Linked DNA regions of Struthio camelus. The protein of the gene in region 1 purifies or fractionates together with the protein of each later gene. This does not show direct contact. Links are inferred from orthologs where the notes say so. Each region holds a gene or a part of one and is shown on either strand. Other genes may lie near its edges. The genes, in order: SMARCC1, BCL7A, SS18 and DPF2.

What was found.
Region 2: the proteins of SMARCC1 (region 1) and BCL7A purify together in Homo sapiens (affinity purification with mass spectrometry; 4 studies listed by BioGRID and IntAct, counting the BioPlex papers as one, with this or other methods). This does not show direct contact. The link is inferred for Struthio camelus from reciprocal best matches to the Homo sapiens genes SMARCC1 and BCL7A.
Region 3: the proteins of SMARCC1 (region 1) and SS18 purify together in Homo sapiens (affinity purification with mass spectrometry; 4 studies listed by BioGRID and IntAct, counting the BioPlex papers as one, with this or other methods). This does not show direct contact. The link is inferred for Struthio camelus from reciprocal best matches to the Homo sapiens genes SMARCC1 and SS18.
Region 4: the proteins of SMARCC1 (region 1) and DPF2 purify together in Homo sapiens (affinity purification with mass spectrometry; 9 studies listed by BioGRID and IntAct, counting the BioPlex papers as one, with this or other methods). This does not show direct contact. The link is inferred for Struthio camelus from reciprocal best matches to the Homo sapiens genes SMARCC1 and DPF2.

Annotation. Positions count from the first base shown.
Region 1 is NC_090943.1:1,277,959-1,285,710, forward strand, and holds the start of SMARCC1 (SWI/SNF complex subunit SMARCC1), read left to right. Parts: upstream 1-4,601; coding exon 4,602-4,880; intron 4,881-7,752. UniProt on the Homo sapiens protein: Involved in transcriptional activation and repression of select genes by chromatin remodeling (alteration of DNA-nucleosome topology).
Region 2 is NC_090958.1:17,699,199-17,706,738, reverse strand, and holds the start of BCL7A (B-cell CLL/lymphoma 7 protein family member A), read right to left. Parts: upstream 3,546-7,540; 5' UTR 3,374-3,545; coding exon 3,282-3,373; intron 1-3,281.
Region 3 is NC_090943.1:122,327,067-122,335,086, reverse strand, and holds the start of SS18 (protein SSXT), read left to right. Parts: upstream 1-5,009; coding exon 5,010-5,078; intron 5,079-5,448; exon of another isoform or gene 5,449-5,645; intron 5,646-7,888; coding exon 7,889-7,965; intron 7,966-8,020. Other genes in the region: PSMA8 (proteasome subunit alpha-type 8), read right to left, coding at 4,656-5,011. UniProt on the Homo sapiens protein: Appears to function synergistically with RBM14 as a transcriptional coactivator. Isoform 1 and isoform 2 function in nuclear receptor coactivation. Isoform 1 and isoform 2 function in general transcriptional coactivation.
Region 4 is NC_090976.1:840,921-848,477, forward strand, and holds the start of DPF2 (zinc finger protein ubi-d4), read left to right. Parts: upstream 1-4,046; 5' UTR 4,047-4,100; coding exon 4,101-4,132; intron 4,133-6,496; exon of another isoform or gene 6,497-6,959; coding exon of another isoform or gene 6,960-6,976; intron 6,977-7,557. UniProt on the Homo sapiens protein: Plays an active role in transcriptional regulation by binding modified histones H3 and H4. Is a negative regulator of myeloid differentiation of hematopoietic progenitor cells. Might also have a role in the development and maturation of lymphoid cells.

The DNA.
Region 1 (7,752 bases):
GGAGTGGAGTCTCCTTCGCTGGAGATATTCAAAACCCATCTAGACGTGATCCTGGGCAATATGCTCTAGAGGACCCTGCTTGAACAGGGAGGTTGGACTAGATGATCTCCAGAGGTCCCATCCAACCTAAACGATTCTGTGATTCTGTGACGTGATCCACAGCCCTGACTGCAGCAACTACCCCTGGCCCATCAGAGGCCTCTGTTGAGATGGAGCTCCCAAAGGAGGACGCAGCACTGCACAGAGTGCCTGGTGCTGAGGCTGGGGCAGAGGGAAAGGCCTGCATGTCCCTGCCTGCAGGAGGTGTGTGCTGGTGGAGGAGCTGTGTCACCAAGTTAAGGAGATGCAGGGGGGAGGTCAGCTGGCTGTGCAGCCTTAGGGATGACGAAAAAGCGATTGACGGCTTTTCTCTGAGACCCTGCAGCTACAGGCAGAGTCCCTGCTAAATCTGTCTGACACCTTTCATAATTTCTCCTTTAACGTCTCAACTTCCTTTGGGACTCCCCATTATGAGAACAGATGTATCTTTGCAGTTGCCCTGGTTGTGTTTTGAGTTAGAACTGCTTCCACCTGTTGGGTAAATTTGCCAGCTATTACTAGCCAATACTTGTTTCTTCATGCAGTTTGGGGGGCAGGGATCCAAAAGACAACATACAAACACCTCCACAGTCCAAAAATCATCTTGTGGCCCTATTATCTTTCACTGCTTTTGTAATGGTTTGTTGGCTGTACAAGGTAGGTGGTTCTTAATTTATGTCTCCGCATCTTTTCTCATCTTAGGCTGCCATCTGCATCCTGCAAGACTGTCAGTGTTTCGTCTATTTCTAAATATCCTTGATTATAAATTAGTACTACCAACTCTGTTCAGGCAAGTTCAGGCAATACCAACTGCTCCACTTTTCTTTTGTGCCAGTACTGAGTCTTCTTTCAACATGTTCCTCCTTTTAATCTTCCACTCAGTATGGAAGCTGGGTCTTGTGCTTACAGTGAAAGCAAGTTCAAGATCTCTCAAGACTGGAAGCAGACCTCGAGTCTCTACTGTCACCTCTTTGCTAAGGGATGCCAGCATCAACTTGGCTACCTTCAGGTTACATACAGAACTCTCATTAGTCTTCTGTGCTCAGATGCTTCATCAAGGTGTGCACTGTTCACAACGCCACTGAGCATAATCCAACCAGGTAAGCTTTTTCACGTGCTGTAAATTTCTGTTCTGCTGGGGTTACAATCCTCCATAGTATGGGATGAAGTGAAGGACCACGATCCTGTGAGCACTGACGCAGCACCCTGTGGGATGCTGAGCAATTGTAGCTCTCCCTTAAGAGAGAGGAACTCTCTGCACTTCTGCCTGCTCTGGTCTCCCTTCCCATGAGATATTTTCTTCGTGAGATCACACAGCAGGGCAGCTTTTTCTGATTAGCCTTCTATAAATTCCCAAGAGAACCCTGTTAGGCTCAAAACTGACCATAAGGCAGTTCTAGATATAGGCACCCAATTTACTCCCTAATCACCTACCTCCACTGAACCTCTCAAAGTTTCCACGCAAACCTGAGCTTCAGTTCACAAGTCACCTGCTTGTACTGTGAACTCTCCCTTTGCTTCCTCTGGTGTTCGCACACTTAGACACGTCCTAAAACAAGATTATCGCATCCTTGTCAACTGTCAGCTAGTCTTGAAGTACAGCTCTTTTCTTAGTCTTGTTTGCAGGCTTGAACCTTTTTCCCTGCCACAGGCAGGGAAATGATGCCACTGCCAGCATAATGGTCAGCACGCTCAGATTCCTGGAACGCCTCAGGTGACCGAGCGGAAAGGACACACTTCTGGAGCACAAACTACTCGCTCGGCTGTCCAGGAAATCACAGCATTTGTGTTGTCTGCCAAGCATGACTGAAGGCGGTCAGCAGGTCCAACGCTTAGAAGGTTTGGGAACGCAGACAGGAAAAATGACTGAATAAGCCTCGTTTCTTTAAGAAACTAGGCTAAAAGCTAGTTCTCCCTACCCTGTGACAGTCAGCGAAATCATATAAATCAGAGGGGTAAGCTAGTCTACACTCTCAAAAGACAATTCAGATTAGGATAAGCAGGGACACTCTAAATTTGGCAGAATGAAAAAAAGGCAGATAATTTGAGATGTCTGGAGGCAGGGCCTGAATAACATTCCCCACGTCCTTGAAATCTCAAGGTTCTTACATGGCACATCAAAAGTCTCAGTTTCCACCAGATAAAATACTTGATTCCATACTTTTCCACTTTCAAGGCCCATATTAATCCTATTCCAATCTACCTAAGAGAATGAGTCTTAACAGCAGAAACCTATGATTACAGGGCAGGCAGACCCAGATCTCCTTCTCTAACGTAACTAAAATACAAACGTTTTCCTTAGTTTTCACAGTCATAAACATCAGAATCTGAATTCATTTTATTTCTTCGGAGAGCTTTTACAAAATATCAGGGCACATAAAGTTCACTGAGGTACAACTATGTCCTCCTCCCTTCCCCTCTTCTTCCCCCTTTCTTTTCTTCATGCTTACATACTTACACAAGTATGTCCTATATATCAGGATTCCAAGAGAGGAGGAACTTAATAGCAATTATGACCTTAGGAATTTCTGCCCCCCAAAAGATTTTCTACTCCTGTGCAGCAACTCATCCTCCTGGAGTTGCGTGAATATGGTTTTCTCTAGGCCATGCTGCGAAGCCATCCAACACTAAACTGTCGTTAAGTGACTCAGACTGCAAAACCACATACTATATCTCCCTATAACCCATCCAAGGAACTACTCGAGATTATGATATTTTTCTCTTTTGTTTCCCTCCGTACATGTCATTCTTACCCTTTCCAGCAGATCCAGGGAACGGCTTCCCTTTCCAGCTCAGGTGCAGTAGCGAATTAGAACAAAGAGCCATCTGTAAGCTTAGTGCTTGACAGCTTATCATCACATGCATACCCTGTTATTTTCAGCAGTATAATCATTGCGTAATGGGGAGATCACAGGCTTCAAACCTTTTTGAAGGCTGAGGCCGTTTTCCGGTCTTCCATTTCCTTCCCCCCTCCAACCATTATTCATTTTAATGCCGTTTTTTCTCTTCTGTGCAAAGCTTTAGCCACCGAAGGAACAACGCACACAATCACGCTGCCCAGGAATGATTTCACTGGCACTAACACTCCACCACATCCTGTGGTAACAACTAGAGAACAAAGAGCCTGGGCTGGTGTCCGAAGGCTGAGACATGCCTGCTCATTTCAGCTCTGCCGAGGAATGCAAGAACTGTCCTTATAGCAATGGGCCAACTGTATTCAGAAATACAGAAGGGAAAAAAAAAACAATAAACCTGGTCACATCTCTGCAGCAGTACCTCGGGATGAGATGTCCTTCAGGTATCCCATACAGAGGTCTGATGCTTTGCTGTCCGCTGCTCCTAAGACAGAGTAGCAAATATAAGAAGGTAAACGGCTCCCCAGACATCTCTTTCCACAGCAGGATAATACAAACAGCAACAGCCAGGCTGATTTATTTCTCATATCAGCAGAAATCTACTGCCATAACGGTGGTGTCAGAAATTTCAACGGCCACCAGCTAGCCCAAAGATGAGTGTCAGGAGGCATTTAACAGAACAAGTTTAACTTCCCACTCTATACATCCAACTCCTCTCTACCGGGATAAGAGATTTAAAAGGAGCTCACATCAGAGCTGCAGTCTCCACAGCCACAGGTAACCTACTCAGGAGCTCGGCCCAGCACAGCGCGACAGCAGCAGAGGCTGAACCACGGGCAAACGACCCGAGCCGCGCCAGCACTAAGGACGACACGTCCCAGCAAACCCAGGGACCCCACCGCCGCACCGCTCGCGCAGCAAGGAACCCGAACAAGCGCCCTAAGCGAGGCGGGAAGGCGGCCGCTCTCTCAGCACGCCCTCAACTTCGCGCCTCAACCCACGGCCACTTCTTCGGACCGGCACCGCGCGTCACCCCCCGCCCCGCCTCGGCTCGGCGCTCTCAGGCCTCAAGGCCGGGCTGTGAGGAAATGGCGGGAGCCGCGGCCGCGCTGAGGCGTCACCGCCGCGCCAACGGCCGCCGCGAGCCCCTCTGAGGCGGCGTCGCCCCGACAACGGCCGCCGCGAGCCCCTCTGAGGCGGCGGCGTCGCCGCGCACGCGCACGCGCGGTGGTGGGGGGGAGGGGCGGCGAGCAGGGCTGCGCGCACGCGCCGAGGCTGGCCGGAGGGGGGCGGGTAGGTGATGGTGGTGGTGGCGGCGATGGGTCCCCCTGCGCGCATGCGCCGAAGTCCGGCCGACGCACACGGGGGGGGGGGAGGAGGAGGAGGAGGAGGAGGAGGAGGAGGAGGAGGAGGAGGACGGAACTCGGCGCATGCGCCCCGAAGCGGTGGCGGCGGCCGGCCGTTTGGGGGGGAGGGGCGGCGAGGGCGCAGGCGCTGACCGCGGCGGAGCGCGGACGCCCAACGGCCGCCGCGGGGGCAGGGAAGGAGGCGCGGGGAGGGGGGAGCGGAGCGGAGCGGCGCGCACGCGCACGCGCGGCGGCGGCGGCGGCGGGGGGCAGCGGTATTCCCGAGCATGCCCGGCGGGGCGGGGCGTGCGGGGCTCGACGCATGCGCGGAGTGAAGCGAGTGGGAGGCGCAGGGCCGCGGTGGCGGCGCTCGGCGAGGGTAACAATGGCAGCGGCGGTGGCGGCGGGCGGCGGCGCCGCGGGGGCCGGAGCCGCGGCGGCGGCGGCGGCGGCGGCAGCGGTGGGTGCCGGCCCGGGACTGGCGGCGCTCTCGGTGGCGCGGCGGAAGGACGGCGGTCCCACGGGCAAGTTTTGGGAGAGCCCGGAGACGGTGTCCCAGCTCGACTCGGTCCGCGTCTGGCTCGGGAAGCACTACAAGAAGGTGCGGTTCGGCTCGGGGTGGGGGGGATCCCGGTTCCGATCCCGGTTCCGGTCTTGGCGGCGCCTCACAACGGGCGAGGCGGCGGTTTAACGGTCCCGCGGAGCCCGCTCGCCGCGGCGCGCGGGAAAGTCGCCTCAGGGCGGCCCGGCGAGGGGGGGGGGCCGCGCTCCGCCGCCGGCCTTTGTCAGCCGCCGCCTCGCCGCCGGGGGGGTGCGGGCTCGGCCTCAGCACCGAGCCACCCCTCTGCGGAGGTTTCCGGCCGGTTCAGGCTGGGTGGGGAGGTGGGGAAAAAGAAAAAAAAAAAAAAGGGGGAAAAAACCCGACATCCCCTTGTCTTATCAGAGCTGTTTTCGCGGAGTTAACGCGTGCCTCGCATCCGCGTTTATACCGGCTGTAGCTGCAGCCGTAACTTTTCTTGTGGAGACAAGTCCCTAGAGCGGCTTGCCAGGATGTTATATTAGGTTTCGTTTAAGCCGCACCCCTTAAGCGTTAATGGGTTTAAAAAAAAGGGGGGGGGGGAAACAAGGCTGCTCATGCTGTTGGTAACTGCGTGTTGCTAAATCTAATGAAACGCGACAAACCAAATGCTTGCTGCTTTGGTTATGGCTGCTTCACTTCCATCCAGGAGCGCCGTTGCTTGCTGTGTGTTGTCCTTGCACCCTTGTTCCTCTTCCACCCTTTGTTGTGTTCTGCTTCTTGCCTTTTTTTTTTTTTTTAGGTGTTTTTCCTGTTTTCTAGCTTTCCGTGCAATTCCTTATACATAGGTCGAGAAAAATTGGCTGACAGTAACTTTCCCAAGGACAGATGTGTGTGTCTGGACCGCCTTGTAGAAATCAAACTGAGTGTGCTTTATTCTTTGCTGTCCCCTGAATCTGTGGTAAATATAATCTGTCTTTTCTTCGGGAGGTCTGGTTTAAACAAGCATGGGCCAGTTTACCTCTTGTTGCTCCGCTGGTGCTGTTGATTTGATTATTTGTGCGGCAGCGCTCTGAAACGCGTGTGTGAACTGATCTGGGTTTAAAAATAAAAACACAACATGGTTAGAGGTGTGTTTTACCGGTCTTTCTGCGTATCTCTTTAGAGTGCAGCCACATAGAGTTGAATCAGCGCAACGGGGGACCAGTAATAATTTGAGTGAGCAGCTTAAACTGTGTTGATAAAGAAATAATAGTGTAAAACGGTGTCTTTAGTTTGACCTTTTATTGTTTTGATTGTGCCTTTTCCACTGTTTCTAGACTTTTGAGGAGGAACGTTATTTCGTTTTGTTGTCGTGACGGATTATCGACAAGATTATAAGAAGTTTCTTGATTCTGAAATGGCTTAGAACTGGCATGTGCCACTTTGCTGATGAGCTTTCCCAAGTCGCGTTATTTTAAGCGTTAACAGTTATTGCTAACTCTACTCGTCCCTTGCTGTTGTCAGTGAAAACTATCTAGATGAGTTAGTGCTCACCTTACTGTAGCCTGGCAGGGCTCTTATCTGTAGTACAGGGATGGGAGCTTTCCTTTTGTAGATCGAAGCAGAACTCTATGTTATAATTACTTTATACTTAATTGCTATTACTGATTAGAAAGATTAGATGCTTATATTTACTTCTTAAACTCTGGAAGGTAAACAGAACTGGCCGAAGCAGACATCTGAAATTTACTTGCCCAGTACGGATATTGCTGTATCAATTCCTTGAAAAGTAAGAACAAAAACTAGAAGTCCTCCTTGTTTTGTGAAACAAGGAAATTGGTTATTGGTACTAATGTTTAAAGATAACTCTAGATGGAATCGGTAATTCCTTTTTAAACTGTAGCTAACAGACTTGAATTCTTCTTGGGAAATGCTGCTTTGTATAGTGGATACTTCATTCTTACTCTTGTTTCCTGTAATTCAGGTGGCAGTTTTGCAGCAGGTATGTCGTATTTCAGAAGAGTACTTTGGGGATTACAAGTGACATATGCCCATCATACGCTCTTAAAAATTGCTATCTATACATCTCTCCATTGGTAAAACCTTAACCTGTAGCATTGTGTCCAGCTCTGGAAGCCCCCAAGGAAATTGTGGACCAATTGGAGGGCATCCAGAGAACAGCAAGCCTGATCAAAGGTCCAGAAGTCATGATGGGCAAGGAGTGAGTGAGAGAACGGCGATTGTGCATCTCTTCCTTCTTGTGTATTTGAAGACTTGCCTAGAGACAAGTGCAAGACAGTGATGTTCTCCGTGTCTCTAGAGTATAGCTCAAAAAGCAACAGGTTTAAATAGTAGCGTGAAAGACTTGCACAGACTCTTAGGAAACCCATTCCTCACAGTTTATAGGGGTTTTCTAGACAGTATGTTGAATCGCTATCAGTAGAGATTATTGGTGATAAATTCTGTTAGGTAATGACGTGGGTATTGTAACCCTGCTCTGCTGTTAGAGGACGTACTGCTTTCTGAGGAACAAGCTTTTGAGGCCTGTTTCTTCTTCCTAGCTAAAGTGTTGACAGTGAGGAAGGCCCTTCCATTGATGTACAGAAAGACAGCGTGCATTGGGAGTTTGTGTTGCGGAGGGGAGAAACAGCTGATTGAGTAGAGGATGCTTATAAAGATGGAAGGAGTACTGGGGATGGAGTATTAGTGACACCAAGCATAATGACAGAAAACAAAATTGTGTATTCCGACCTTCTATGTCCTTCCCTCTTTTTGTATGTGTGATATATGTAACTCTTCTTGCTCCCGTTCCCTGTGTTGAAAGGTATAGGAAGTCCCGTACTTCTTCCCAGGCCTTGGACTGTAATTCGGATGTGTGGGCCTCTCTTCCTTGTGAGTTGCAAGCTGTGTTTCATGCTGTGGTTTTTAAGACCTGGAGGAGTTGAAATCTTTCATGGCGTTTGGGAAGATTAAC
Region 2 (7,540 bases), on another chromosome or scaffold:
CCGGTGCTATCTGGGAAGGTAACGTGATCTCACTGCCTATAGTCACTTTGCTCCTCAACTTTTACACAACATGCTTTGTTTTAAGGTACATCCCAGTTAAGTCTGTTTCAACAGCTGATTCTCTTCCCTAATAAGTCTTTTGCACTTTCTGTAACTACTTCCATCAGTTCTCCAAGTTCACCTCTTCTTTATGAAGCGCTATCACTATCCCTAGGTTACTGCTTTGATAAACGGGGGAGAAAAAGGTAAAATGACTTATGCAAAGACATCGCAATTCAATGACAGGACAACAGAATAAGATTTCCTCATTCCTGGTGCATTCCCTAGATCAGGACACTTGTCCCAGTCAGCCACACCGTGCCTCCATCCTTAATGTTTGCACGGCTGTCCGAAAGTTCAGAAATCCTAGTTACCCACGCAAATCATTTCACTGCCTCCTTAGACACCCAACTACTTACACTTGTATACTGCCCACTATGTGTTCTCACCAGTAAAACTCTCTGCATTTTCTAGCATTTAATAAATCTTTTATAAAAAAAGAGCATTTCCATTATTTTGTAATGCTGGCTGAGAACGCAACAGTTTTCACCCCTTTCTGCTTGAGGGCCTGTTTAAGACCTACATATACTTGCCAATCTTTAAAACAAAAGATAAGCCCATATTGTTTATAATTCATTAAGTTAAATTTAACTCAGATGACTGTTTAATAGACTGGAAGAAACGTGACAGCTATTAAGAAGAAGTAGGTCTATGCTCTTAGCCATGGAAATACAGCGTTCTGCCACACAACCATGTATTTTGTAGGAAACATATTAGGTGTCTTCTAAAATAAATGCTCATTCATGAGAGTGATTTAAACGAAGGAGATTAGTTTTAATCTCGAGATTAACAAAACTATAATAACTCCACCGTTTACTATTATAAGTCAAGTTCCAGTAATACCAAAAGTGCTAGGCACGATACAAGCACGCATGAAGACAGGTGCCTGCACCAAAGGATGGATTTCTGTCTAAGAAAGAATTCATATTTCCTACGGGACAAACTCTGTACTGATGGAAACTCACTTCAAATAGGCATGCACACACACGTGGCAATACAGGCACACAGTAACACTCTACAACAAGGAGAGTTGCTGCTGCACACCTTCACCTACTGATGGGAGTGCTGGCCAGCACGCACCAGGGCCGCTGTCAGTTCAGAGAGGTTTGCAATACAGTCTGCCCCGCTTCTGTCTTCAGTGCGGAAATGCGACATGTACAAGTCTCAGAAAATTCTGTTCTATGAAACACCGTATGCAAGGTTTTTTAATCCTCAGTGGCTGCATTTCCACAGAAAAGCTGTGGATGGCAACAAATTGCTCCTATTATGCAAATGAAACTGCACACTGAAAATTGCCTATGTGGCTCTTCGTAAGATATAGGAATTGCTAGCGTATAAAGTTCAGTTTCACAAGTCTTCTCAAAACATCTGAACCACAAAACATAGAATCTCTCTTGCTAATTTTCAATGTACTTGACTGCAAGTGAACAGGGGGAAAAATAACCATGAGCTATACCAGCAAATTATTAATTCTTTTAAAAATATGAAAAATGGTTTGTGTAAATACTTGCGAGATGCACACGCAAAAAGCCATATGAATACTTCTGACCGTAATCAGAAGAAACACTTCGCATGATTCTGTACAGTAACCTTTTCAAACAAGCTCTCTCTCAGGAGGGTTAAAATGTACAAAATCTATTTATACCCTAAGATTCCTGTTTTATAGGGGAAGCCATAGCAACTGACATGATGGCAGAAAGCCCTTGCCAAGAGGAAAAAAAAAAAAAAAAAGACATTTTCTTGAATGGCCAAGCTCCTGCCTCTACTCCTCTCTGAAATCCACCAACTGGGATTCAAAGGAAACGCACTACACTCATGAATGAGATATCTACAAATAAAATAGTCCCACACATCCAACAATACTACTCTGATTAAAAAGTACTGCCACATCGCTATATAGTTTTGAGCCTTCCTAGCTGGCCAAAGAGTCAAAAAACAACACTTGAAAACATCACCAGAGAAGAAGAGAGTTCCTGAAATCAGCAGAGCTGTAATCCTCCGACTGCTTCGCTCCCTGCACAATGGAGGGATTCTCCGAAATCCCCATCTCGTGCCCTGCATTACGGGACACACATTTTGATTCTTTGTCCAGCTCAAGCCAACTGGCCCATTCATGTGCTCAAGGCCATTTAAAAGGCAACAACCCATTTTGCCAGGATAACACACACATTTAATTTCTGCTTCTTCTTCTTCTTTTTTTTTTTTTTTAATGAAATCAAAGTATTTAGCTGTGGATTACAAGAAAAGTGCCCCCTTATTTTATCAGGTTCAAAACAGCTACGCATAGGAAGAGACTTGCTGTGGATTTCACACGTTTACAGGAAGATTTTAAGATGCATGCACAAAGACTACTGAGCAGTCTACTTTTTGGAAGAAAGATCCAGTCTGGGCTCACACCGGCACGGCTCCTCATCCCATCCCAAAACACTAGACTGACTGCGCCCAACACTGCCATAACTGTGTTCCGCTGTATTGTTCCAACGCCTCGTGTTGATTTTGACAGGAAAAGCAGAAAAAAAAAAAAAGGCAAAAAGCGTGTTTCAAAAAAAAAAAAAAAAAGGCCAAAGCACTTTCCAGGCCCAACAAAAGGGAACGCTTTCGCCGGGGGTACAACCTCCAAGTGCACAACTTGGAGCCAATCCGAGCAGCAGTCGCGCCCTCCCCCGCTCCCGCTCCGCTCGGGATTCACGGCCCGACGGCCCCGCGTGGGTGCGAACCTGGGGGGACGGGACTTTTTTTTTTTTTGGGGGGGGGGGGAAACAAAACAACTCTTGGAGTTGTTCAGTGCCATTTTTAACGCTTCCCCCCCCCCCGCCCCAAACACTTCTCCAAGCGGCAGCTCCACGCGAAGCCGCCGGGCGCCCAGCTCGCCCCGGGCCCCCGCTCAGGGGAGGGCGGCGGCGGGAGGAGCCGCCACCACCGCCGTCCTTTCCCCGCTCTCCGGGGCCGGGAGCCGCGGGGCAGCGGGCCGGGCGGCGGCGAGGGGGCTCGGCCGCACAATGGAGCCGCCTCCGGCCCTCACACGCCGCCGCCGCCGCCGCCTTCATGTGACTCGCCGGAGCGAAATGGCTTCTGGGTGCCGGCGGCTCCCCCGCCCCCCGCGGCCGCCGGCGGGCTGCGGGCAGGGCGCGGGGGGCCGGAGGGGGCGGGCGCGGGGTCCCGGCGCGGCGCGGCCCGCTCACCATTTGCGCACTTTCTCGATGGCCGCCATCACCCGCTTGATATCATCCTTCGCCCGGCTCCGGGTCTCGGCCCGCACCGACCGGCCCGACATGCTGCTGGGAGGGGGGGAGGGGGGAAGGGGGAAGGGGAGGGAGGGGGCGGCGGCCGCGGTGCTCGGCTCGGCTCGGCTCGCGGCTCCCGTCCGTCCGTCCGTCCGCCCGCCCGCACAATGCTCCCTGCGCTCGGCTCCGCTCCGCTCGGCTCCGCTCGGCTCCGCCCGCCCGCCGGGGCCCGCGCACTGCGCACGCGCCCCGCGCCGCCGCCGCCGCCGGCAGCAGCAGCAGGAGCCCGCGCGCGCGGGGCCGAGGCGGGGCGGGGGGGGGGGGAGGAAGGGGGCGGCGCGCGCGCGGCAGAGGCGCCGCCAGGGCAGCGCGCGCCGGCGGCGGGCCGGACGCCTGGGCCCTTTGTTGGTGGCGAGGGGCGCGGGGCGGGGGGAGCCCGGCCGGAGGGATAAGGAGGAGCCGGACTCCTGGGCCCTTTGTTGGTGGCGAGGGATATTGGGGAGGGGGGGGGAAAGGAGAGAGGCCCGGACGCCTGGGTCGCGCGGGTGTCCCCGACGCTGAGGGCGTCACGTCCCCACAGCGAGGCCGCGGGGACAAACCGGGCCAAGGGGGAGCCGGGCTGGGGCGCGGGGCTGCCGCCGGCCCCCCTCGGCGCATGGGGGCTCGGCGTCGCCCTGGCGCGGCCCGCGCGCCCCACCAAGGGCAGGGGTCGCCTCTCCGCGCGGCCTGGGTGCCTGCGCTGAGAGGAAGATCCCCGGGGTGCTCAGTCTACGGGGTGTGTGTGTGGGGGGGGAATTCAGCCCGCTTGGCCTCAAACTTTGTTCTTAGCACACCGGATGCTGGAGCGTAGCCACCCCGCGAGGCGCGAGGGGGATATCCGAGTGACAACTGCGTCCAGCCCTTGTGCAAGTGGTTGTGACACCGTTTTGCAGACCTCGAGCGCGGTGACTGGCAATGCTTCCTGTTAAGCAAAACATCTGCTTTGTTAAACAGCACGTTTAATAAATCCACAAAATGCAGATTTTTTTTGCAGAGTCTGTAAGGCTTCTCAGCTGCCTAAAGTGCTTCCAAAAGCTTCCATGGAATTAGGGCGATGTAAAGGGGGTGAGGATCTGAGCCAGCACAGATACACGGGAGTGTTTGCGCATAGAAGTAAACGGGCAGAGAGAGCTACCTGCGAAGTCATGCTCTGCAGAAACTCTCTAACCTCACATACCCTGGTCACTGTGCTACTGGACTTCTTTATTAACTTGTACCTAGTTGTAACGTCTTGCTGTTTGTGCTAACTGAACAGCCCCAGATATTCTACGGTAGGTAACAGCAGTCTCGATTTAATAAACATTGCCACTGAAAGGAACGCTTCTTAAGGGCCTACATTATTATTCAAATTGATGCTGAGGAAGATGTAAAGAAGGAAGCGCGTTCAACAGCTCTTCACTGATCTTTCTACAGCAACTTATATCAGCTTCATTACACTGTTTATACAAACACTGTAAAATGCTGTCCCATTGGTATTACACTACTAATTGGAACTACTACTTTCAGAAAGAAAAACACAAGTTGTAAAGACCAAAATAGAAACCTGGTTTTAATTTGCATCTCACTGTTCCTTTCTTTACTGAGGGCTGAAGGATGGATTACTGATGGATTTATTTGTATAATTACCAATCCGTTCTGATGTATTCAGGCATTTTGTACATTACATTTATCAATGTAGACAATCCATATAATACTTTTACGTCGCTATTTGACTGTCAGGTTTTACAAATAAACATCGCCTCAGCATGATGAAAATAGACTGCATCAGAACAGCTTCATCTGGCACAAACCCACCCTAAAATGAATTCTGGGAAGATTCTAGCCAAGAACAGGGATGATCAATGCAAGAAGATAATGCACCGACTACTCTTTTATTCTTTGCAACCACCCCTGCGATTCTGTACATAGTGATGTTCTCTAATGGCTCACTGGACTACAAGATAGATGTTTTTACAGCGGAGTCTTCATGCTGCTCTCCCAGAAGATCACTTCAGGACGGCACCATGTTCATTTAAACCACTGTTTATTAACTTCCCTGCGAAAGGGTATTAGGAGTGTTGGCCATGCCTGAATGGCAGAAATACTTCCACTGATGATCTCCAAATCCAAACTTTCCACAGTAGCAGTACAGAAGGTGGAATACTAGGACCGTGCTTGATTTGGGAAATAGATTTGATCCCACAGGTTTGTGGCCTGCGCTAAACCAGGGGTTAGACAAGTGTTTGTTCAGTCTGAAATTATATTGCCTTTATTTTTTCATAAATGCAAAATACAAATTTCACAGATACTTGAGGAGAGGAGATTGCAAAGTAGGAACGAGTAGAAAACTTTGTAGCAGCTATGCTTCCGAGCCTTCGTGGATCCAAGATTCATCTCTTTTTTCTGTTCTGTTTTTTTCTGGTTCAGGAATAGGTAAGCCAAGAATGTCAGCAGTGAATATCTCTGCTGTGATTTCATCTGGAATTTCTTCTTCCAGTAAAGCTGCTGCACCTGGAGAGCAGTAACAACAACACCAACAACACAAAACAGACAACAGCAACATAAAAATGGGTTTCCACAGAGTAAGGTTTATAAGCAGCAGTTAAGTGGATGGAATGTTTTGAAGATGTCTGAAGCGATCGTGAAAAAGGATTGGCTTAGCTTAATACTTTATGCCCTTATACTTATGCCTTATAAGGGGACAAGCTGTCAAATCTGTGAGGCTGACAGCCTCATCCTGCAGTAAATACCTATCTCAGAAAAGTCACGAGAACAAATGGAACTTTTACACTCCGCTGATTTCACTTGGTTCTAGGATCTTACGGAATCCAGGGATTTCAAAGTTGGTTTACAGCGCTAGACAGTTCCCTTCAGAAGAGGTACCTTCGAAGCCCACAGGTCCGTGGGCTGACAGCCCTGACCGGATGCTGTTCCGGACTGGCGTGGACTGGGACATGAACTGTATAAAAATGTGGTACTTTGCAGCAGTTCCAATTAAAATGGGCAATGCTACTTGGATGAAATCAACACTATAATTTGCTATTCTAGACTGGTGTAGACTGGGACATATATTGTATACAAATGTGGTAGTTATCAACAGTTCCGTTATAATGGGCATTACTGCCTGGATGAAATCAACACTATAATTTGCATATTCTAGGATTCCCTTTTGCCTGTGGACTTTGGCATGTAAACCTTCCACTGTGTGCTTCTAATTTCAGTTCCAAGCCAGCAGATAAACACCAATGTAATCTTGTCAGGTCCCAGGTACATCTCATTGCTCATTTATTTTTATATACACCCATGCAATGGTTGCATGTATCAAGGACAATCTATAGCTCTATGGCTATTTTTGCAGTCCTGTCGGCATATTTTTGACAGCTCTTGGCCTAACAGGGTAATAGGTTTGCAATTTAAATTACTCTGTTGGGGAACCGAAGCAATTCTACTTCTGTGTTGCGTAGAACGATAATCCTGTGTACCTGAGGTATCGGAGGTGCCCGGTTTAGTTATTCCTCCCTCTGGATTCATGCCCAGCAAGGTAGTCAGACATGCTGCCAGCTCTTCTTCTGTCATATGCTCTCCTGTACAATAAAGCGAAACCAGTCTCTTGGGTTATGGTATCATTAACACAAAAACTAGCAGATAGCTCTAACAAGAACAGTGTACAAACAGAATAGGGTAGTATGAAGGAGGATTTGGTTTCTGTGAGATGCAGACCACATCACCAATGGAAATGCATGATCCCAACACAGGAAAGCGTTGATCCGAGGGAAAATTGTTCATGTATACTGTGCGTTTTGGCCAAACATATTTATCAAAGGGAGAAATTGGAGCCGTTGCTCCAACTGGAGCCGTTGCAGACGGCTTTTTAGGTTAGGTTGCACTTGCAAGGGCTTGTGCTTCTATTTCCACTGAAGAGCCCCTGGCACAGGACAGCCCACAGTCCAGGTAGCCCAGTGTCCGTGGCAGTAGCCAGTTCATCACTCAGAGGAGGAAGAGGAAGGTGTGGGAAAGTCTTTAATATAGTATCCCGGAATAACCTGAATGCAGCAGTTGTTCCCAGTTAACGGTTGCTCATGCCCTGAAGCATAAGGTTATAGATCTGTTATGAAATTGTTCTAGCGTGTCTAACGTATCTATTTATGGGTGTTCACACCAGCCATAGAAATAGCTACCCTTTCTCATACCGGTTGAAT
Region 3 (8,020 bases), about 120 Mb from region 1:
TTAGCTTCACAATGATTTTTCCTGTTTTTGTTACTGCCCCTCTGGAACTTAGTAGAGCAACCAATATCTTTGTACTATTCATGCTGGTGGGGTAGTTCATATCAGTTTATATCAGAACATATAAGCTTGTATTTCAGGTTCTGTACAATATTAATATTCTTATTAATATTCTGTGCAAAGGCTAATGCAAAATATAAATGGCAAAATTGAAAGACGCAGACAAGAAGCTGACAGACTAAATTCCAGACAAATTTACCCTATTAGTGTGATCCCTTTTAGGAAGCAAAAACACCATGAGAGACCATTTACTTTAACAACAAGCTGATATTGTTGTATAATTTGATAACAACTTACTGATTAATTAAAGAGACTGAATCTGAACAATCTTCTAAGCTCAACCATTTAAATTGGCAGATTTTCAGATGCTAGCTCCATTTTGCATCAGGAAGAATTAACATGTATTCTGGGCATGTAGGAAATCCCCCCAAAGTCACAAGATCACACCAAGTCCAGTTAGTGAAGCCCATAGAAATACTGAGCCAAAAATTGTATTTCTTCCTTTTGGTAACTTTCCTTTTTATCTACCCAAGGAAGCTACTCCTTGAGATTTGCTGTAACTGCTCCCTGATTTCTAATCTAAAAATGTTAGGAAACACACAGGCATAAACCCAAAACTCTTTTCTTTTTTTTTTTTTTTTTTTAATCACAAGATGAAAAAAAAGTCAGCCCTAAAAAAAGGCTCAAATTTGCCCTGCCATCCTACTAGCACTAGACTCTGAGCTATCATATTTACTTTTAATAAAGTGATTCTTGTCAGTTTGAGGTGAATGCACAAAATGAGGTGCTGTCTCCGAGAAAGTTCTAACTCTCAGGAATCATTCTCAACACGATACTGCAATCTTTAGTCAAGCAGGTGTAAGCAGCATTACCAAAAACGTCTTTGCTCTCCTGTCTTGTACTGTCAGCTTAGTAAATACCAACTTTAAAATGTGAATTTAAGTTTTGAATTAAAATTTGAAAATGATGATGGATCAGCATTCTGTATTTTCCTGCTTGTGAAAGGGAATGTTTTCTGATCCCTTTTTATCCGTCTCTTCTATTCCAGGGAATTTATGGAAAATCGGATAATAAAAACGGCAGAAAATATAGGCAGAAACTGAAGCTACCTTATTTTTTTCTCAGAACCGTTGGAAGACCGCATCACTGCAAATCTTACAGCTTTCCCCAAAACTAAATCAAATGAAGCCCAGTGCAGTGAGGAATTTTGACACACTCCTGAGGAGGCTAAAATCACTCAACTGTTATGCGCTTCATTTCAAATAGATAGCTTTCTCTAGGAGCCATATGTTAATGCTTTCTGGACCCTAATCTCAGAGCCTATATTGTTACCCAGGTACTTGTGTTTGAGAAAGATGAGCTGGAAACACAGGGAAAAAAATGTTTCAGAAAAGGGCACATCCTTCTCTGTCTGCATTCTTCTCCCTTCAAAAAGTATGAAATACTGAAATACACATGAAAAAAAAAAAGGATGCTACACTGATAAAACTTGGAGCAGAGATGGAAAAGAGCTGGATGAAACATATTTTGTATTTGAAACTCTTTGTGATGATCTAGATTTATGTATCAAAATTACAATTAAATAATGTTAAGGTTGTGAGTAACTCAAGAGTAAAGAAATGTGCAATTAAAAAGAAAATATACCATATGTCCTTCGATATCTAGGCATATTGCAGTGCATTAAGAAAGTCATAAAAGAGACACCCTGTTGTGGTTATGTGTTCCGAGACATGTGGCACGTTTCCATTGTAGCTATCTATTTCCCTGCCTGTATGCATCTGTGCCATTATTTAAATGTTGATTTTCAATGTGATTTTCTCTTTCCCCGTTAAAAAATGGAGCTGCAGTCTCTTTTTTGAACTTTTCTTTAGATCATGAACATGGAAACCCCAAATTTTAAACATATGAATGTAAAATCATCACAAAGAAAGGGGAATAACTGGATTTAATTTACAACTACCAGATAAAACCAGGCAAAAGAGACAGTTTTAATTATTTTAAATGAATGATCTTTTCTTATGTCTGTATCTTCCTTTGGTAACAGCTGAATTCCAAACATTGTTCTGCATTTGGAATGGAAAACAGGAATGCACTTAAAAGTATCTAGTATTTAATTTAGGCCATCTCTGGGAATTAGGATGGGCAATTACTCCTTTCATTTTAAGGTTCCACCATCCCCGTGCAATCCCACAAACCTTTTTTTTTTTCTTCTACTGATCATCAGCCTGAAAGTGTGGGAGAGCACGATGCATTATTCTGAGCTTAAAAGCAATTGCTATGTGGCTGACACCTAACCCACATTGTGTCAAATACTGTCGTCACCAAGATACCCCAATGCAAAACATTTCAGAAACAGCAGCTGTCTAACTAGAGGATGGCAGCAAGGTTAGTTATACTTGTCGGAAGAGAACAGCATTTTGAAGAATTCTCAGTGTTCAGAATACTTCATGAGAATGTATTTGTCCTCTGATTGCTGAAGGTGCCTGCCGCCTTAGAATACTTTCCGACACATCCCTATTTCTCAAAAGCCAAGTATCTACTTCTGCTAAGGAAATAAGTCCTGTTTCTTCTATTGCAACTGGCTAGAAGGTAGTACCTTCTCATTCTATTCTGGCCACAGTGATCTTGTACTCTTTATTCTTAGGACTGTCATTTGTAGTATCTAGAAATAATATTGATTTGAGCACAGAGCTATTGCCACATCTCTGTGGTATGAGTGCACTCCAAGAATATTCAACAAAAACCATGAATGACCATGAAGCCCATCAACTTCAGAAAAAAGGGTTTCTTCAACCATTTCTTTTTGCCTTTGTTTTCCTACAAGTATGATAATACTGCTGCTACAGATAATAATGAAATGTGTGGGAAGGTGAGAGAAAAAAAACTGCTTGTACAAATAAAGTAAAGCGGACCTAGATACCATGGTGATGAGTGAAACGTGTAGAAACACAAACAACCTAATGGATATGCCGGCACTAGTCCTCCTCCTTAAAATGACCTATAGTGAAATGACTGGGCCAGAATCACTTTCTGGAGAGGACAGCAAGCCAGATTAGCATCGCATCAACTCAAGGTCCTATATAACCTGAAGAGACAGGGCAGAAGAAGCACCATTCTGGGAACAGAGAGAATCAGGCCCAGGCGACAGTCCCTTGGAGAGGGGGATGCTTTGGGAATGCAAGAACAGTTTGGAGACAGAAGCCTGGGAACTGGTTGTCAAGGGGGAAAAAAATAGGGGATGATGGGCAGTCACAGTCAATCCTAGGATAACAGAGCCAGGAAGAGCAATCTCCATGGGGCTGGGGAAACAAGCCAGCCTAGAAACAGTCGGAGGAGAGAGCATGCCAGTTGGGAAGCAGCTGCACAGCCACAGGGTGGCCGAGGATGCCACTTACAAATATATGTTGTAACCAAAAAGGCTAGGGCTGGAGGGAAGAGCCAGGGACTTGAGCCAGCAACAGCTGAGAGAGGGAAAGAGAGAAGCGCGCAGAATAAGGGAGAATATTCACATTTTGTTGTGTGGCGTCATGCAACAGAGCAGTGTCCCATCAGCCACAGGAGCAGGCATTTCTGTCAAGGACCAGAGCGCAAATCAGATACTGAAGGTCACTGCCCAATACGTCAGGAAGGAGATGCAGCATTCATGGCCTACAGCACAGCACTAAACAGCATCCAGGCAGGCCAGGGACGTGCCTGGGAAAAAGCAGATTTATGAAGTTTTAGTTTGGGATTTTCTACTTTTCTTTGCCATTACCTTTGAAACTCTTACTATTGTAAAGAACAGCCTTAGACTTTGCAAACTTGTGTATCAGAATATGTGGTGAAGCCCCAGAGATCCCTCCAAAGGCAGCACTGAAAAAAATCAAGGCTGCTTTCAGCAATTTTAGCGTCTATAATTTATTAAAAGTCGTAGCAGCACTTGTTTCTCCTTGTTCGGCTTCGTTTCCATGACAGAGAAGCTGTGGCCGGGGAGGTCAGTAGGGAAACTTAATCACACACAAGCTGGCTGGGCTGGCGGGGGGGGGGAGGGGGGAGTATACAGCCCCAGGGTCTGCTCTTAAACTTTTTTTTTTTTTTAAACCTGCCAGTTCTGGCAATGACTTGACAGCAAAAAACACCACCAGAAGCCTGGAAACGTCAGCGCGAACACTACTGGGCAAACGGCACGTGCCACCGCCAACGGCAAAAACGTCCCAGCGGCACCTCCCCTGCCTCGCATGCCCAGGCCTGCGGCTGCGGCTCCGGCTCCCCACGCGAGAGGCTCTGGCGGTGCCACACCGAAGTCGCCGCGGCCTCGCCCGGGACTTGAACGAGCGCAGGACCCGCCGCTGCCGCCGCTGCCGCCTCACAGCGCTCCCCCGCGCCGCCTTCCCCCGCCGCCTCACACGGCCGCCAGAGCGCACCGCCTGGGCGCAACCAGCGCGGCCGCGGGTGGCGGGGGGAGGAGAGCGCGTTCCTCGGCACAGCCGGAGTGCGTCCCCTGTAACGTGAGCGCTAAAGCGCTCCCCTTCCCCCTCCTCTTCCCCGCCCCCCCCCCCTCGCCGGCCGTACCACTTCGCTGCCTGTCCGGCGCGGAGCCGCGTTGAGCAGGAACGTACCAACGCCAGGAAGGGAAAGGGGTAGCCAAAAAGGCCTCGTGACTGACGGAGGCCACATTTAAACGGAGCGGCGCCGATTCTTGCTCCTTTTGCTTTTCTGAAACCCAGGGAGGCGGCCACCGCCTTATCGACTCTCCCTCTCCGTGCCGGAGAGGGAGGAAGAATACCCTTCCCCCTTTCACCTTTCCCCGGCGGGGTAGAGATGGGCTGGCCCGATGGGCAGCCGCCCCCTCGCCCCGCCCCCCCGGCGCAGCGCGTTCTTCCCGGATCGCTGCCGCCTCCCGCTGCTGTTGGTTGCGCGGGGCGCGTGAGCGGGCGGGCGGCGGGGGCGGCCCCTCCTTGCAGCGGCCCGACATGTCGGTGGCGTTCGCGGCCCCGAGGCAGCGGGGGAAGGGCGAGATCACGCCGGCCGCCATCCAGAAGGTGAGGGCGCGAGAGAGGAGGGGCTCGGCCCGGCCTGGCCCGGCCCCGGGGGCTGCGGCTGCTTCCTGGCGTCGGGACGTGCGCGGAGGGGGGTGGAGGCGAGGCCCCGGGGCGCCCAAAGCCCCTCGGCGGGGCGGCGGCGGCCGGGCCGCGCTGGCGGCGGCCGGGCTGTGGCGCGGCGGGGTCCGACCCCGCGCAGCGGTCGGTGGGCGCGGGGCCGCCCCGCTGCGCTCTGCCACTTGTTCTGGGGGGCGCGGGGCGGCGCCGCCGCTGCCGCCGCCCACGGGTGTTCGCCGTGGGGTGGGCGCGGCGCGGGGAGGCCGCGCGCGCGCGGGGCGGCGGTTGCCCCGGCCCCCCTGCGCGCCCCCGCGCGCCCCCGGGGGGACACGGCACCCGGCGGCCGTGTGGCAAGCGCGAGTCAGCCCTTCAGTACGCTTCGCCCGCGGCACCTGGGGCGAACGAAGAAGTCGGCGAAGCCGTTCCTGTGAGAGGTGCTTGCAAGTGACGCCGCGGTCCTGCTGCTGCTGCTGCTAAGCCCTGTGTAAATGTGATCTCTCTCTCCGTGGGGTGAGCAGAGACTCCCAGATTTGGCTTACCTTTTAATTCCCCTACCCCTGCCCCAAACAAAACCCTCTAAAGTGCTGTTATGGGGGAAGGCTGTGGCTAGAGCTGATGGCAGGGACTTGGGATGCGTCCGTCTAGGCTCCTGTGGGAGGAAGCAAGCTAACTTGCCAAAAGCAACGAGAGAAAGCGTGTTTAGGACTTGTAATAATTAACGATATGTCGCATTGGCAGAGGCAAAAGAGCACACTGAAGTTCAGTGCTGACTCTGTAACATTTGGAAACCTAACTTTAGACCCTCTCTGTCCTCAGTTTAAATCGTGATCTGAAATCTGTTTTAATTTATGGCCGTCAGCTCCTCCTGTAGGAGGAGATGCCTTCCATTTAGATAAATCAGGTGCTGACTTTATTAGAGGACAAGGATGTCAGCAAGGTGTCAAAGTTGTAGGGATCAGGACCTCAAAGAAGACCTCAGAGTTATGATGCAGACCTCTGCAGTAGTGGAGCAGAAGTAGTCTGTGCTTGAGAAGCATAGCCAAAAAGTACACGCCCACTGAGCTGCCTACCAGTAGGTAGTAGAGACTTCAGTTCACTGGGATGCATATAAAGAATGTAGGCACTTAAGGTTTTTTTTTCTTGTGCTGTAGGCCTACCGTTGATTTGATGCTGCCATGCTTGCAAAATCCTAGTATAGGTATAGCTAACAAGTTTTTGTAGTGTTCCTAAGCTGTTGGAAGCCTTGGAGGTGTCTTCATCTGGCTGGAAACTTAAGATTCTTTCTTGGTGATAGGTGCTTATAATTCTTTCAGAGAACTATTTCAATTCTTTATCGGTAACTGCTTGATGAAAACGTTATAAAACAGTGCCTGCAGCCTAGTCTAGGCTATAGTTGTATTCCATTTTATTTACTTTCTTCCTGGCCCTAGCATTTTTTTTCCCCCTCTCCAAAGAGATCTGGCTTACCTGAGAGGGGGAGGGGAAAGGGAATGGAATCATCTAACTGGAAGTCTGATGATCTACTCCCTTTAAGTATATGCTGTCTTCCACTGGAAGATGGAAGTGTTCTGATGAGAGCCTTCATCCAAGGCTCCCTTTACAAATGCGCTGTCTGTTGTATATGAGAAACAGACTTGTATTTGTCTATATATATATATATAGACATACATACATATATTTTATTTATTTACATATTTGCTCCTTTTTCCTCATTTTTTTCTGGTGAAAGTAGCTACTGTATTTCTTACAGAACTTGATGTTAGTACACGTGAAGTGTGTCTGTATATGGGTGTATATGGGTCGGCAAGCCCCTTTAGAGCATGGAAGTACATCTCTTCCTAGTTTCTGGAGTTCAGACGGATGTTCGAAACATTGCAGTTCTGTATGTGTCTGTTGCTTAAGGACAGTGTTTCCAGGTCTAGCAATTTTAGGCAAGGACGATTGCTTACTGACTGTTCTTGTCAATTCTGGCAAGTTACTGGTTTAAGTTTAGGAAGACTTGGTTTATTGGCTTATTAGTTCTTACATGGATACAAGTCTTGAGTGGACTGTATGAGGTCTCTGAATCTGTACCTTTTTCATATTAAAGATAGGTTATTTGGAAGAAAAAATAAATATTTTAATAGGTTTTTTGTTTGTTTTTATGTTAGATTCTTACAGAGTTGAGGATGCTGTAATTATGGTGTCTGTGCTTCCCTTTCAGAGTCATAAGCCTGCTTTCTAATTTCAGCCGTGTTTGGAAGGGAGATAATTAAGACCCTACCGGTTTTGTGAAATTCAGGAGCTGCAAAAGAGATCTTAAACTAGCCCTCCACTGAGGGCAAAATGCAGGAAAAAGTTAGTGTGAAGTTTTCCATTTGGCTGTAAATTTTTTTGTTTAGTTCAATTAACCTGGATAATTTGGCTGGTAGCTCAGACTAGCCATAGTTCTGCTGTGTCTTGTCTGACCAGAGTGCAAGGGAGTGATTAAGAGGATGTGTGTGTAGGGATGTGCAGCTCTGAGACCAGAGTATATTATTTTTCCTGCTTATGGAACTCAGCAACATCTTGAATTAATGAGTTTTCAGTTTTCAACTGAAAACTGAGAGGGAGGAAGGGGGAGATGGTAGCAAAATAGGTTCTATAAATAATTGGTTGAAATAAAGCTTTTTAGAACACTTGCTTAAAAAGAAGTAGGAGCAAGAATCAAACTCGTCATCAGTTTCTTTCCCTAAAAAGCATGAAACTTATTCTAAACTTTTTTGTCGTTTCAGATGTTGGATGAAAATAACCACCTTATTCAGTGTATAATGGACTATCAGAACAAAGGAAAGACATCTGAATGCTCTCAGTAAGACATTAATCCAGATCTACTGTAAACTGGGTGAATTTCCATCTAGACTGCA
Region 4 (7,557 bases), on another chromosome or scaffold:
GTTCGCCTGTGCGTTTGCCTCCCGGCTTAGTCACTCCTCAAATCGGAGATTTATGGAAATGAGCATTGCAAAACTATGTGCGTTTTGTTTTTTGGTTTTTTTAATATACTCATTCTAAGAAGTGTGAGTCATTCGGGCAGGAAAGTTACTGGTTCTCAGCTGTTCCCCGCTGCGACTCAGCCTGCGATTGCTGAACAACAGCCTTGCTTTTTCAGGAGATTTTAGCCAGAAAAAGTTAACAAAGGTCTCAAGAGTTTATTTCCAGCTCTGGCGCGGTGGGCAACAGGTTTACCGCAAGCTGAGGGTTTGCGATGTGAGGATCCGGCTCCTGGCCGGTGAGCTGTAGCGCAGAGCAGGGGTTGTCAGCTGACAGCAGCGAGCTGTAGCACAGAGCAGGGGTTGTCAGCTGACAGCAGCTTTACCCAGGCCTCAAAAACACTTCAGGTTATTCCTCGTCCAAAGGTTTCCGGGCAGCAGATGAGTTATATGATAAACTCGGGAACGCCCATGCTGGGTCTGCGCGTGTGTTTTGGCGCGTGGCCCTAGGGAATAAATCGGAGCGCTGGGCGATGCTGCCTTGTCGCGTGCTTGACCCCCAGTGTCACCGCCGTCACACCTGCATGAGCCGATGCATTGTGACCTTCCCATTAGCCCCAGTAACAGGGCAGTGATTTTATGTGCTGCCTTGTTTATCGCTCGGGCTCCTGAACAGCTGGTGAGGAAACAAAGCCACCTCGTGCATGCAAATTACGGCCGCCGAGGGATTAGGAAGAGGAGCGGGTCTGAGATGAAACACGGTCGCAGAGGGAGAGAACGCCTCAGCGCCGGCTGCGTCCCTGGCTCGTCGTATAACCTTGGACGTAGATGGAAAGCGACGTGGCTGGAAAACAGTTTCCTAGCGTGGAAAGGAGGAAAAAAAAACCCCAAAACCATCAAGAGGGGCTGCGTGGAAAGGGGAAACAGAAAGAAAAAGAGAAAAGAATTCACCTGGGTGGCGAGAGCCATCGGACAAGCCACGCTCTCCGCCCCGGGTAATAAACTTGAAGACCTTTGACTAACCTAGATTCAACAGAAGGGAAAAGATCTCAAAGATATAAGTTTGGGGAATACATTTCTAGGGAAAAGACGCTAGAAAGTTGGCCCTGGGGGGAGAGCTGTTCTGCTAACAACTGTTTCTCTGTAGCCAAAGAAGGCCTCGCGGTTCAGGTGGGATGAGGGAGGGGAGGAAGTGATGCGAAAGTATAGATTTCTGCACTGAAAATCATTTTGACCAAAAGCAGCGATTCCCTACAGATACTAGATAAATCACCCTACCGTTTGCCCCTGAAACGGCCGCTGGCTGGTTTTGAGACCTGCTGGCCCTGTGGCAGTGCATGCCGAAGCCACAGAAACACCTGCAGAGAATTTGTGTTACCTGGGGACAGAGAACTGGGCATCTTATCTGGAGGCCAAGCAGTCTGTGCAGCTCCCAAATTACGGCGTTTTCGGATTCCTGCCTAACCTCACTGTGCAAAAAATAAGAAAGAAAGCAAATGCGCCCGAGGGGGAAGAAAGTAAATTTAAGAGATGTGCTGTAGCCCTCCAGGCCGGCAAGTGGAAAGCGCCAGACGTACCAACAAGGGCACCTTCTCGCGAACAAATCTGCGGCGGCGGCGCCTGTTAAACGTGAGCCACAAATCTAATTTCCTGGGGGACGGAGAAGGGGAAGCTTTCCAGACAAAGAGCTAAATTGCGTGCTAGAGAAGGTGTCGGGCGGGGGGGAGGGTTGGACTGTAATGGAATTAAAAAACAAACAAACAACAACAAAAAAACAAAACACAGAGCAAAAACGTTGCTGCTGTCATCTTTCCAAGCGAAGGAGCCAAGAAAGCGTCAAGACGTTGCCGGGCGCAGCTGGGCTGCGGGGAAAAAAGCCACTCAAAATAAAGCAACGCGCTCTCACCCACTGAATTCTTTTTTACCCGGTAGAGTAAGAATTAGGCCCAAATCTCCTCACGGCGCTGCGTGTTCTGTCCCAGTCCCTTGCTGCAGCTGAGTAGCTCAGTTCTATTGCCGCGGCGTCCCACGAGGGCAGGGAATGACTACCCTGCAGCTGGGGGAACATAAGATAGATCAAGAGTTCGTTAATAAAGAAAACGCAGAGCCGACTAGCTATCGCACGGCTGTGCCCCGAACGGATGTGCTTAATGAGCATTAAGGTTGCTTATTCCGCTTTGAAAGCGCAGCCGGGGCGCAGTTTAATGATGGAGTTATTGCAGATTAACAAATAACCGTGCTTCGGCTGAGCTGCGATAACGGCAATTTATACCAGTAATTTACGACTAGACATTTTTCTCTTGCTGTCTGGCTTCAAATTCTCTTGCTATGATTTAAGCCCTGCCCATCTCGCTCCACCCCCGTTAGGCACAAATAAATTGGGTCCGTTCTTCACAACCCATTTATTCAAAGGTCACGGGTCTCCGCTAAGTTTTTCCTCAAAATTTTTCCTCGAGGCAACTCTGCTTCTTTCGCCTTTCATTGCGGACTGCGTTTTCTCCGTAAGGGAATTATGATGGAGCTGCTTAAAGCATGGTAAATCCACCCCTCCCAATTACCGTGCAGCAAATTGCTCATGCAGCCGTGCCTTCTGGCTCCGATTCATCGCACCTCGCTGCAGGCATCCAGCTGCTGTGCTTTAATTCAGGAGCATGGTCACCTCAGGCTTTTTGTCAAAGGAAAAAAAAAAAAAACAGACATAAGATGCTGCAGACACAGGAGATCTGAGTCACCCTCAGCAGGTGACTTATTGACTGCAACGGTCTGCAGTGATGATGGTCCTGGTGTAAAACCTGACCCCAGACTGATCAAAGCCTCTCTCCTTGCCTTATCGCTCCAGTTATTTATTTATTATTTACAAATATTCACAGCTTAATACTTCCCATCCCTTTCTCTTTGCGTTCCCAGACAGGAACGAAGCCATTTAACCTGCGAATGCCCCAAAACGGTGGTTTTCCTCGAGGTGCCCAACTGCATCCGAGGGAGCTCAGAGCAGTTTAGGGAAGCGTGTGCACGGCCGAGGCAGCGGTCATCTGTTCGTGCAGGGCAGAGATCAGTCTGCTGTTCAGCAAATCCCTCCCAATCCTATTTGCTCATTTTTTACATCACTTATATGTCTTCTTGCTTCATCGTTCACCTTTTCCCCTTACCTACCTCTTTTTTTTCCTCTTTTCTACCCTTATTTTACTCTCCCATCCTTTTATGCCTCTCCACCTCCATCCTTCCATCTTCCCTTCATTCGTCTCCCTCATCCTGCACCATTTGCCTCGTGGTCTTTCTCTGGCGCCCTCCCTCACCCCTATTACTCTCTTATCCCTCATTTCATCCTCCCCAGCTCTTCATCCTTCCTCCTAGTATCCATCATCCTCCCCAGGCCTCTACACCCCATCCAAATAGCCTTTATCCCTTCCCGCTGCCCCTGCTCCTTCTTCTCCTCCCCCATTTCCATCACTCACACCTGATTTTCCCTTCTTTTTCCTTCACCTTTTCTATCATTCACACCTGTTTTCCCTCACCCTTGGCTTTGACTCTTCCATTTTACCTCAGCCCTCCACCCCCTCCCTCACTCTGCCTCCCCGCTACCCTTCATCCTCCTCTCCATCAGCCCTTCCCTTCCTTCACCCTCACCCCTACCGCTTTCCAGCTCCGTCCCTCGGCTCTTCCCCGTCCCCGCTTCGCTCTTCCCCCTCACCCCTCCGTCTCCTTCCCGCCTTTCCCCCTCGTTCCTCCATTTTCCCTCCTCGTCCTCGCGCCTCCCCCCTCAGCCCTTTCCCGCCTTTTCCCCCGCGCATGCGCCAAGGCCCCGCCCTGCCACCCAGCGCTTGACGCATGCGCAAAGCAGCGCAACCAGCCGCGCCAGCCCTTGCCTTCAGCGCATGCGCCGGCGCGGGGGAGGCGAGACTGCGCATGCCCGCGCGGCCGCGGCCGCCGTCCCCGCCTTTCTGCGCAGGCGCCGAGCGGCGGCTCCCCCCCACCCCGTGCTCACGCCTCCTCCCCCGCCCCGCCCGGCCCCTCCTTCGGCGCATGCGCGCTGGGCGGCGCAGGGCCCAGGCGGCGGAGGGAAGATGGCGGCGGTGGTACAGAATGTAGTCAAGCTGTGAGTGGCTCCCTTTCCCCCCCCCCCGCGGGGGGGGGCAGAATGGTTCGGCCCGGCCGGGGCGCGGGACGCGGGACGCGGGGCGCTGCCCTCGCCGCGGGCGAGTCCAAGTGACCGGAACCGGGGGGGGGGCAGAAGCGGCGGGGGGGGGGGCGAGGCGGCCGGTCTCGTTGTTGGGGGCGAAGTTTCCTCGGTGGCGGAAGGCGAGAGCGGCCGGGGTCGGCGGCCGGGGGGCGCCGCGCAGGGCCCGGGGCCGGGGGAGGCTCCGCTGAAGGGCCCTGGGTTCCCCCATAGGGTCCTGTGGGGGGAGAACACCTATATGGCCCTGTGAGGGGGTCCTATAGAGCGGTGGGGGTGGGGGATCCCCTCATATGGCCCTGTGAGGGGGTCCTATAGAGCGGTGGGGGTCTGAAACCCCCTATATGATGCTGTGAGGTGGTCCTATATAGAGCTGTGGGGGTGGGGTCCCCCCCATAAGGTCCTGTGAGAGGGTCCCATAGAGCGGTGGGGGTCTGGATCCCCCTATATGGCCCTATGAGGGGGTCCTATATAGAGTTATGGGGGTGAGGTTCCTCCCATATGGTCTTGCGAGGGGGTCCTATAGAGCTGTGGGGGTTTGGATCCCCCTATATGATGCTGTGAGGAGGTCCTCTATAGTGCCGTGGGGGCCTGGATCCCCCATAAGGTCCTGTGAGGGGGTCCTATAGAGTGGTGGGGGTGGGGTTCCCCTATAAGGTCCTGTGAGGGGGTTCTATAGAGCTGTGGGGGCCTGGATCCCCCTATATGGCCCTATGAGGGGGTCCTATAGAAAGGTGAGGGTCTGGATCCCCCTACGTGCTGCTGCGAGGAGGTCCTCTATAGTGCCATAGGGGCCTGGATCCCCTTATATGGTCCTGTGAGGGGGTCCTATAGAGCGGTGGGGGTCTAAATTCCCCTATATGATGCTGTGAGGTGGTCCTATATAGAGCTGTGGGGGTGGGGTTCCCCCCATAAGGTCCTGTGAGAGGGTCCCATAGAGCGGTGGGGGTCTGGATCCCCCTATATGGCCCTATGAGGGGGTCCTATATAGAGTTATAGGGGTGGGGTTCCCCCCATATGGTCTTGCGAGGGGGTCCTATAGAGCTGTGGGGGTCTGGATCACCCTATATGATCCTATGAGGGGGTCCTATAGAGCGGTGGGGGTCTGGATCCCCCTATGTGCTGCTGCGAGGGGATCCTCTATAGTGCCATGGGGCCTGGATCCCCCTATGTGGCCCTGTGAGGGGTTCCTATAGAGCGGTGGGGGTCTGGATCCCCCTACGTGGCCCTGTGAGGGGGTCCTATATAGAGCTATGGGGGTGGGATTCCCCCCATATGGTGCTATGAGGAAGTCCCGCAGAGCAGTAGGGGGTCTGGATCCCCCTATAGGATTCTGTGAGCGGGTCCTATATAGAGCTGTAGGGGTAGGGTTCCCCCCATATGGTCTTGCAAGAGGGTCCTACAGAGCGGCGAGGGTCTGGATCCTCCTATATGGTCCTGTGAGGAGGTGCTATATAGTGCCGTGGGCATCTCAATCCCCCCATAAGGTCCTGTGAGGTGATCCTATAGAGCAGTGGGGGTGGGGGTCCTTCCCTATACAGTCCTATGAGGCGGTCCTGTAGGACCCAGGGAATGGAGATCCCCCCTATATGGCCCTACGAGGGGTCGTATAGAGCGGTGGGGGTCTGGATCCCCCCTGTATGCTCCAGTGGGGGGGTTCTATAGAGCTCAGGGGCTAGGGGTCCATCTCCCCCTATAATGGAGGACCTATAGAGCTGTGGGGGGGAGTATCATCCTACATGGCCCTAGGAGGGGGCCTATGGAGCCTAGGAGTAAGGGTCCTGCCCAGTATAGCCCTGTGAGGGGACCCTTATAGAGCCCGGGCGGTGGGTGTCGCTGCCCCCACACAGCCCTCTAAGAGGGGCCCTTTAGGAGTGCTTATTTCTATATGGTGCTGTGAAGAGACCCTATAGAGGGTGGGGGGGAGTCCCCTTATATGGCCCTGTGAGGGGGGCTCTATAGAGCCCTGGGCCTGGGGCTCCCTCTATATGGCTTCATAAAGGGGAGGGGGGGCCTATAAAGCTTGGGGGGGGCCTGCCCCTATATAGCCGTCTGAAAGGGGCCATATAGAGCCCTTGAAGGGTATAGAGCCCTCCACTATACGGCACTGCGAGGGTGGAGGTTTTAAACCCCCCTGGGGTGGCCCAGGCAGGCCCTATACTGCCCCCCCCCAAAAAAAAAAAGCTGCTTAAAAGATGCCCTATGTCACCTCAAGGTTACATATATATTAAAGTTACATATATATTTTTTTTTCCGCTTTTTTTTCCCCCCCACGGGAAGGAGCAGGTTTCGCCCCCTGCTCAGTGCAGCTTCCGCCCTTCTTTCCCTCTCCGGAAAAAACCCTCTCGGTTTCCCCCGAAGCGAAGCGACGACGCGGCCGGAGCTGCCGCCACCTCCCGCTTCAACCCGAAGCTTTTCCGGCCCGAATCTCTCTCTTTTTTTTTTTTTTATTTTTCTTTCCCCCCCCTTGAAAACCTTCTCGGCCGACGCTCAAAAACTTGGCAGCTGTTGAGCCGGGTTTTTCCGGCGTTTCCCGGGAGCCGTCGCCTCCACGCTCGCTTTCGCTCCGACGCCTCGATTCCCGGCGGGGTCTTTTGTAATAAACCCGGCGACGTCTTCTCTCCTGGCCGTCCAAAATCCGTTAAAAAGAGACATTTCGGAGCAGCGTTTCGACCGTTAGCAAAGGCGAAACGGCCCGGAAACGAACCGCGGCTTGCCGACGGGGCGCCGACTCCCTCTCGGGGCCCGTATGGACGCAGGCGAGAGGTAGGAGCATCCTTTCCGCTCTTTTCCCCGGCGGTTTTTTAACGAAAACGCGCGAAACTGCCAGGCTCCTTTCCGCGGTGATCCACTTTCCTGGAAGCTGCGCTTAAGGGCGCTTAAAATTTGCTGAGTAGCAGCAGTTCGGCGTCGTATACGGGTAAGAGCCGGAAAAAGTCTCTAGGGAGCAATAATCCCGTTTGTCGAACCCATTTATCTGTTTCCTGGCATAAGAAGCGTTTCTCCTGCTCCGGTAAAACATAAACTCTTCCTAATACCTTTAATGGCATTTTTTTTTTTTTTGCATTTAGAGAAAACCGCAGCGGTTTTTCTCCTTGGCAGAGTCTGCCCCTTTTTTTTTTTTTTTAAACATAAAGTTTGCTTGGCAGCAGTTATTTCGCGGGGCATCGGCGACTGTCCTAAACTCGCTGGGAAGGAAATCTCTGCTCGCAGCTTCCCGCCGGAAGAGCACTTAAAAAACCCTTTTTATGGCACCTTTCCAGCCACCAAATCCCGCTCTCGGGCTCCGGAGAGCTTGAACTAACTTCGCAAATTGAACAAATTTAATAGTGCTCAATTCCTCGCTT